Zea mays: one gene and its partner. The protein of the gene in region 1 interacts with the protein of each later gene in a pairwise test. Links are inferred from orthologs where the notes say so. Each region holds a gene or a part of one and is shown in the gene's direction. Other genes may lie near its edges.

Region 1 (4,744 bases):
GTAGCAAGAAAATTGATATTATTCATAAATATCATATCTCTACTTCTATTACTAAGGGGCAAAGGAGGGCGTGCACAGGGGCGAGGCCATGCCCTTGTCCCGGCGCCCCCTCGCCCCGTCCTCCCGATTGTTGTCCCCGCTCGCTCGTCCCTCGAGAAACCTCGTTGTTGCCCTCCCCCACGACCTTTGCGTTGTCAATTCCACCTGTTTGGCTCGGGCGCTCGACCTTTCCATTCCGTTCCATCATTCTTCTCGTACACGACCGATTGCGACCCTTGCCCTCGTCTCCCCATGCCACTGAAAATGCCCCGCCTCCGCAGCCGCCACCCGCGACTACCCATCCTCCCCGCACCACCTCAGGGACGCATTGGTCGACGATGTGGTGGGAGCATGCTATACCTACTCCTCAGGCTCCTCTTGGCGTGTGGCGGGGTCTAGCCCACCTCACTGGCCCCTCGTCCTGTGACCTTCTCTGAGGACAACTCTGAGGGCCGCGCCTACTTGCTCTAGGGGCGCGACCTCACGCGCTGCCACACCAACGATGTCGCCGTCGCCCAGGCCAACCAGGTGCCCACACCAACGATGTCGCCGTCCCCCAGGCCAACCAGAACCAGGTGCCCATAGACCTTTTCTCATAACAATATAACACACATTTTTACATAAGTTATCATGATATTATATATTTCCGTTGCAACGCACGGTCACTCACCTAGTATTCACATATGTTGCATGCTTGCAAAAATCCATCACATGGTTTTTGGACAATATGGAATCCTAACGGTTTGGTAGATGTCTTTTGTGATGTCTCTATAGTCTATACCTCATGTAATGCACAGAGTATTGATTTTTCATGAATAAACTTCTATAGTTGTCCTTCATTGATGCATTGCAATTTTTTATTGTTCAATATTTTTGAATGGAGAGAGAGGGGGGCAGAGGGAGAGGGAAGGAGGGAAACACAAGGTTTAAGAGGTATTTTTTTATTTTAGATACTTGTAGCTATGCTATTCCTTGAGGCATCAAGGATAGTTCTTTCAGTTTTTCCCTGATAACTCAGTCATGCTAATAACATCAGCTACATACTTCTCTGTAATGCAGTTTTTTCCAAATACTGTACCATGCTAATATATTGTTTTCTAAATCATGATAACTGAAACAAACTATTTTAAGATTTATATGTGCAGTAGTTGTTGTCAGTTGAATACATGTAGTTCTTTCATTAAACTGATCCATGCTACGAAAGACTGTCAACTATCAGATGGTATATATACTTTTTTAATACTACTGAATCATGCTAATGTGATGTTTTAAAAATCCTACTGACTGAAATTAACATTCTCTTCTCAGTATGTGCAGTAGTTGTTAACTAAATATAATATGCATGACTATGGTAAACTGGTGACCACCCTCCTCCCACAGTTCCACATGTCGCGGACTATGGTAAACTGGTGGCCACCGATGTCGATTAGCTAATACATATGGCAATTTACGAACTACTACAAAGTTTTAAAGACATATTAATTTTGATTAACAACACAATATATAGCCATGCATATTGTTGTTGTTGTACTATTTTTTTTCTGTTGCAACGCACATGTATTTTTATGTAGTCAAATAAATTCTAGTTTTTTCATAATCCATAGCTCATAGTCGCTTATTATTATCACCTCCGGAAGGCCAAAACCACTCGTCATCCTGTGCCCCCCTCCGTCCACTCTCGGCCCCACGCCTCCATGGTCACCGCCACGACAACCCCGCCGCAATGCTGGCGAGGGCTCCCCGCCTTGGCCCGGGCACCTCCACCCCTCTCCTCTCCTCTTCGGCCGCGTGCCGTAGCGGCTGCGGCTCCCATCTATCCTCTCAGGCGCCGCATCGCTATTACTACAACCAGAGGAAGGCGAGGCACACTGGACTGTTCCCCCAGGTACCGAAATCCCAGCAGATGAAACGTGCCTCCTGGTTTCAAGCACCGTGCAACCAGACTTGTTGAGTCCTCTTGTTGATTTTTTGGTTAGGTTCCTTCTGTCTGCTGTGCTCGTGCAGGTGTACGCTGGAAACCGCCGGCCCTGGCTTCGACCCTCTGGGGCTCTACGAGGAGGGGTCTAATTCTCTGTCGCGGTCTCCCCTGTCTACCTTCTTTGGTATCATGGCGCCGGTATTTGGGAGCTCCAGCGGCGGTGGTGCAAGTAGGGAGAAGGCGTCCGGGCGAGGAGCAGCAGGTTGCCAATTCAGAGCTATTTCCTTTTCACTTTTATCAGGACTAATACTTAGGAACGATTTTGGTGGATTTTGCAATAATGCTGTGCTATCGCACTAGTTAGTTAGGTTTAGTGGTATGCTTCATTAGCTTCTATACTGGTACTCCCTTGCCCCAAAATAACTGATGTTTTATGTTTGTCCTATGCCAAAGCATTTCAAGTTTGACCAAATTTATACAAAATATCAACGTTGAAGATACCAGCTAAGTATTATTAAATTTTTATCACTAAATATATTTTCTTATTATATATACCTGGTGTCATAAATATCAATGTTCTGTCCTATAAATTTAGTCAAACATAAAATGGTTTGACTTAAGACAAACATAAAACATCAGTTATTTTGGGGTAGGGAGAGTAGTAAATTTTGAAGTGAATCTTAGTGAAGCAAAACAGTGGTGCTATGCTACTTGCGTTGAAGTGTTGCAAAATCATATAATCAAATTAATGTTGTGGATAGATGAAGGAGAAACATACTTCCATGTTAGTTAAGGGAATAGTGCAGTGCAGTTTAAAGCAAAGCTGATCTATTTGGACTTGACAAGCCCAAATATCCTAAACAGCCTTGAAGACAAAAGTTAGAACCTGTATATTGCATCAATTTGGATGTGGTTCATGATAAGTTTCTTAAAATACCAACATTCTTTTGACGAATCAATAATGTATCTCATATCATGCTTAAATTTTACGATTTTCTTCAAATTTATCTGCTCTAGTATCTTGGCACTGCATCTTTAACTGCTGATTTTTTTTAAGTTTTTAACAGCTAGGATCAGTTCTGCAGATGGATTTGCTGGAATTCACTTTCTTTAGCCAATCAGTATTTGCTGTTTAAAATGTGTCTCAAATCTCAATCCAAGTACCTTTCCTTTTGAGCAGCTGCAATTGAGGATAGCTCCATTGACATTGGTGACTTCTTCAAGGGCCCTCTACCTGGGAAGTTCCTGAAGCTCCTTGGTTTTTTGGCCTTGTCTCGGCTTGGTGTGTATATACCTTTGGGTGGGGTCAACCGAGAAGCTTTTGCTGGGAACCTTGACCAGAACAGCCTGCTGGGCACTTTAGATTCTTTCTCTGGTGGAGGCATTGGCCGGCTTGGAATTTGCTCCCTTGGCATTGTACCATTTATCAATGCACAGATTGTGTTTCAACTCCTTGCGCAACTCTACCCAAAATTGCAAGACCTTCAGCGGAAAGAAGGGGAAGCAGGAAGAAAGAAGGTTCTTCAGTATACAAGATATGCTTCTGTTGGATTTGCAATTGTTCAGGTTAGGTTCCTTGAAATATTTGAGAAGTGGGATTTTTATGCGAAGATGGCTTAACAGTGAGAACCTTAGATTTTTTCTATATTATGATATTGTTTCAGCAATGAAACTTCTTTGAGCTTTGTTTTAAATGTGAGGTAATTCCGGCAACTGAGTCAAAAGTTAGAACGTGAAGAGCACTATAGGATGCTTGAAGTTCCTTGCGAGCAGAACTCATCTGTCTAAACCTCTATAGACTTGCACTTTTTACATGCAAAACTGAACTGACTTATACCTGGGAAAATGCTACTATGTGACATAGCTTCAGGTCAAACTACCTGGCATAACATAAAAGATAAAGGCTGGAACTTGTTTACAGATGCTAACATTAATATGCTTTGAAAAATTACCTGTATTTTGATTAAGAAAAAAGTAAGATTATAGCATACACAGTAACGTTTTGCTTGTCATGTCAGTAAGTTTTAGGAAGCGCTGTAATGCTGTGTCTGAATTGTGTTGTTGTAAGTAAAGATGATATTGTCTGTTTTTTTACTGCATGTCTTGTCAGTACCCATTTGTTGTGTCACCATGTAATCATTTATGATGTTATTTTACCTTGAATTTATTTATATATAGTGGGATTGTAAAAAGTATTGTATTTGTTTTTAGGCCATTGGACAAGTTCTTTATCTCCGTCCCTATGTGAATGATTTCAGCACAGAATGGGTTCTAACATCTGTGACATTATTGACACTTGGATCGGTCTTTACTACTTTCATTGGTGAAAGAATATCTGATCTGAAACTTGGAAATGGAACATCACTTCTTATATTTACAAGTATAATATCATATTTGCCTGCATCATTTGGGAGGACAGTTGCGCAGGCATTTCAAGATGGGAATTATGTTGGACTTCTCACAATCATATTGTCATTCTTACTATTAGTCCTTGGGATTGTCTATGTTCAAGTAAGAAAATATTCATTTCAAGGTATATTTACAGATTTTCTTTCGTGTTCTAACTGCCTGGGTGTTTCGATTTCAGGAAGCTGAGCGCAAAATACCCCTCAATTATGCTTCTCGTTACAGCAGTCGAACTGGGGAACTTCAGCGATCTGCATATTTACCATTTAAGGTTTCATACTGAATATACTTTTATAGTTTTATTTGACTCATGATGTTACAGACATAGGATCAAGAGATGCAGGAATGGAGGGGGGAGGGGGAGGGGGAGGGGACGTTAGG
Region 2 (3,448 bases), on another chromosome or scaffold:
GTGTGTATGGGTATGTACTACCCAAACCCACATACTCATGAGTAATTTATACCCACCTAAGTCATACACATATCCTACTTAAATAAGCACATATAAATATATATTAGCCAAAATAAGATCAACTTACATATTTCTACATTATTCATTATTTTTTCTTATTTTATTTATTCACATTTTATGTTTTATGTTTTAAATATGCCATATATTTATTAGATTTATGCTATTTAATATGCGTTCAGCGGGTATCTAATCGGGTGTGGGTTACCCGACGGGTTCATGCGGATATGGATGTGGGTAGAATTTCGTACCCAAGGGCAGATACGAGTTTCTTAACGGGTATGATTTTATCTCGTGGGTACGCATATGGGTAAGCACTACCGAGCGGGTACGTATCCATTGCCATCTCTATCTCCGATTACTTTACCTACAATAGGCCACTAATTAGGAGCGTTAATGGATCATGATTAAAATACTTTTTCACAAAATACTAGAGCCCTAAAAAATTTTAATTCAAAAATAATAGAAATAATCCCGATCTTTATAGTCTAAAATTTAGAGTTCATGGTCATACCACTCATAGGGATGAAAACGGTTTCAGAATTTTTCGGTATTCCGGAAACCGATTTCGAAATTTTTCGATCGGATTCATCGGTAAAGGTAATTTACGAAAACGGAATCGGTTTTCGAAATTTTCTATCGGAATCGGTATCGGAATCGTCGTGGTGTTTTACCGACCGTTTCCTTCGGTTACCGGTTTTGTCGGAAATTACCGGATTTGTGTCTCAGGATTTTCCGGAATTGTGTCTCGGAATTTTTCGGAATTGTGTCTCGGAATTTTCCAGCATGCGATTTTTCGCATCGCCTGTACGTCTCTAGATAAGGATTACTTATTTTTGTATTTTTGAATGCCTTAAGATTTTTTTTGGGATAGATGGTGTTGGAAGGCAGTTGAGATTAACAATTTGGTCTTTTCCACACACACTATGTTTTAGGGTTTTTCTGTGAGGCTGTGAAAAACTCTTTATGCGAGGCAAAATATTTCATAAGTAAGCATGTCATGTCAGCTAGATCGAGTGTATATTATGAATTGTGAACTTTGAGTCTGTGAACTTGTGATCTTTATGAACTTGTTATATTGTGAACTTGTGATCTTTGTAAACTTTTTATATTATAAATTTGTGATCCTTGTGAACTTTTTATATTGTAAACTTGTTATATCATGAATTGTGAACTTGTGGTCTTTGTGATCTTTTGTCAACTTTGTTGTATTATGATGTTTGATATGTTTACCGATTGTATTTTAGATTTCGACCGTTACCGGTGTATTTTTCGCACCAAACTTTCGTTTCCGATGTTTTCGAAATACCGATATCGTTTCCGTTTCCGGAGTTACCGTTTTCGATTTTGTTTCCGATAAAAAATATGAAAACGGTAATGGTTTTAGTGTTTACGACCGTTTTCATCCCTCGTGGATCTGGTCCCACACGTCAGTGACGCGAGGATCTGCTTCCGTTATCCAAACGCCACTATCCCTCTGCCACAACGAGGGCCGCCTCGTCTCGAGTCGCTGAAGCCATGGCGACCACGCCGACCACTGCAATCCTCCGCCTCACTCCAGCCCCTTCTCCCCGCACCGCGCGCCATCCTCGCTCTGCTACCTTCCTCCAGCCCGCGCTCTCCGTTTCCCTCTCCTACTCCCTCCCCGACTGCCGCAACCACCGCCTTGCGGCCGCTTCCAAGGACACTGCTAGCAGCAAGGGGCAGGAACAAGACCAAGAGCCCGCACCGTCGGCGCCGCAGGAAGGAGGACCAGAGAAGGTAACGGAGGTGGGGGCAGCATCGCCCGGGGAGAAGAGCCCGGAGGCGGTGGCGGCGGAGCTGAAGGAGGTGCTGAGGGCGCGGAAGGAGGCGGAGGCCGCCGAGGGCCGCGGCGGGTGGTGGGCAGGCGTGGCGCAGGAGATGACCGAGATCGAGTGGCCGGCGCCTGGGAAGGTGTTGGGCACCACCGGCGTGGTGCTTGGGGTCATCGCGGGCTCCACTGTCGCGCTGCTGTCCGTCAACGCCCTCCTCGCCGAGCTCTCCGACACCGTCTTCGCCGGACGCGGACTTCAGGACTTCTTCTCCGGCTGACGAAGCGGCGTGCTTCGTGTACTCTGTAACTATTTTTTTTTTTCTTGCACTTGGGGCTAGGGTCATAGATCAAATGTTCGAGGTTGGAATTATGTCCAATTTTCAGTTGCCAAGAAAAAGATGATGAGTCACTTGCGAATTTGGTAATGTTACTAATATGTGAGTGACATTTTGTTGGTAAATGGTCACTCGGGAACCTAACTTGAGTTCCTTCTGTTTAGTGGTGAGATAATAATAGGCTTCCAGATTACACTATTCAACTCAGTTAAAATAAGGGCTCAATTCACTTATGTTCAAGCAATTGTCTGAAGAATTTCTGCAGATTAAAAACGCTTATGATTAACACTATGCTCTTCTGATTCACTAGCACAGTAGTAGTTTGGACTAACTGAATGATACTCACTGTCTGTTCTCCTAGTGGCTTCATTTCACCCCGATGACTGATAGATAGGCGTATTGATACTCATATATACATTCAAAAGGGACGGGCATTTCCTGCTATCTAGGTTATATGGAGTCCCTCTTAATAAATTGTACAATCTGAAGTATAGTGTTTCCAAGAGGATTCTACCTCAACCTTGATCGAACTGGGGAGTTACGGATGGGATTATCATCTTAATGGCATTGTCCTATGTTTTGTTTTGTTGGGTTTGACAAATGTTAGATGTTTCTGTATCAATTCTCTCCCCACCGTTTAAGTAGCCTACTCTATTAGTCTTGCATTTGTTTTTCCTTGGATGATTGTATAGTCACAAACGAAAGAAGAACGTATATTATGATCTTTTTATGTCGCTGTGGGTACGAGGTTATGGGGTTAAATTTAATTATTTGCTTTCCAATGAATGGGATATAAGTATACAATTGTAGATGCTCTTCTACCAGGAAGAAATTTATAGCCGTTGTTGTTAGGTGGCTGGATGCAGCAACATGTAAATGTTGCAACTTGCTATCTCTAGCTTTCATGAAAATAGCCCTTGACAGTTTCAGTTAAGAATGCTAATTGAAAGTTCATGGTTCTAATTTCAGCTAGGACTGGAAGATTATGTTACGAGAGATTTTGGAGTCAATTCTGTAATGCCTCATAAGTATAAAGGGATGTGTGATGTGGTCTTACGGTGGACTGGAAGGGTGTGACATCCCATCCAGCATTTGTTAAAGTCTTCCTCAGCATATGAACGGACCACTGATATCCTCTTTTCTCAGATTTATGATACCTGCGGACTAGATTTCTCTTTCAGGATCTATAGGATTGAACAGAACCACTGAACACTGATAATCTCTCTTCCTCAGCATTTGTTACAACCCGATGCACTGGTCT

What was found. The genes of interacting proteins can lie anywhere in the genome.
Region 2: the proteins of preprotein translocase subunit SECY, chloroplastic (region 1) and uncharacterized protein LOC100286380 interact in binary tests that used the Arabidopsis thaliana proteins (3 or more experiments, as listed by UniProt). The link is inferred for Zea mays from reciprocal best matches to the Arabidopsis thaliana genes SCY1 and SECE1.

Annotation. Positions count from the first base shown.
Region 1 is NC_050105.1:53,384,611-53,389,354, reverse strand, and holds the start of preprotein translocase subunit SECY, chloroplastic, read left to right. Parts: upstream 1-1,716; 5' UTR 1,717-1,733; coding exon 1,734-1,924; intron 1,925-2,015; exon of another isoform or gene 2,016-2,043; coding exon 2,044-2,219; intron 2,220-3,137; coding exon 3,138-3,523; intron 3,524-4,168; coding exon 4,169-4,468; intron 4,469-4,544; coding exon 4,545-4,634; intron 4,635-4,744. UniProt on the Arabidopsis thaliana protein: Involved in protein export. Probably interacts with other proteins to allow the translocation of proteins across the chloroplast thylakoid membranes. Required for normal greening during embryogenesis. Central subunit of the protein translocation channel SecYE.
Region 2 is NC_050104.1:16,103,223-16,106,670, forward strand, and holds uncharacterized protein LOC100286380, read left to right. Parts: upstream 1-1,515; 5' UTR 1,516-1,575; coding exon 1,576-2,130; 3' UTR 2,131-2,357; downstream 2,358-3,448. UniProt on the Arabidopsis thaliana protein: Involved in the import/insertion pathway in the thylakoids. The signal recognition particle is not involved in the insertion of SECE1 in the thylakoid membrane.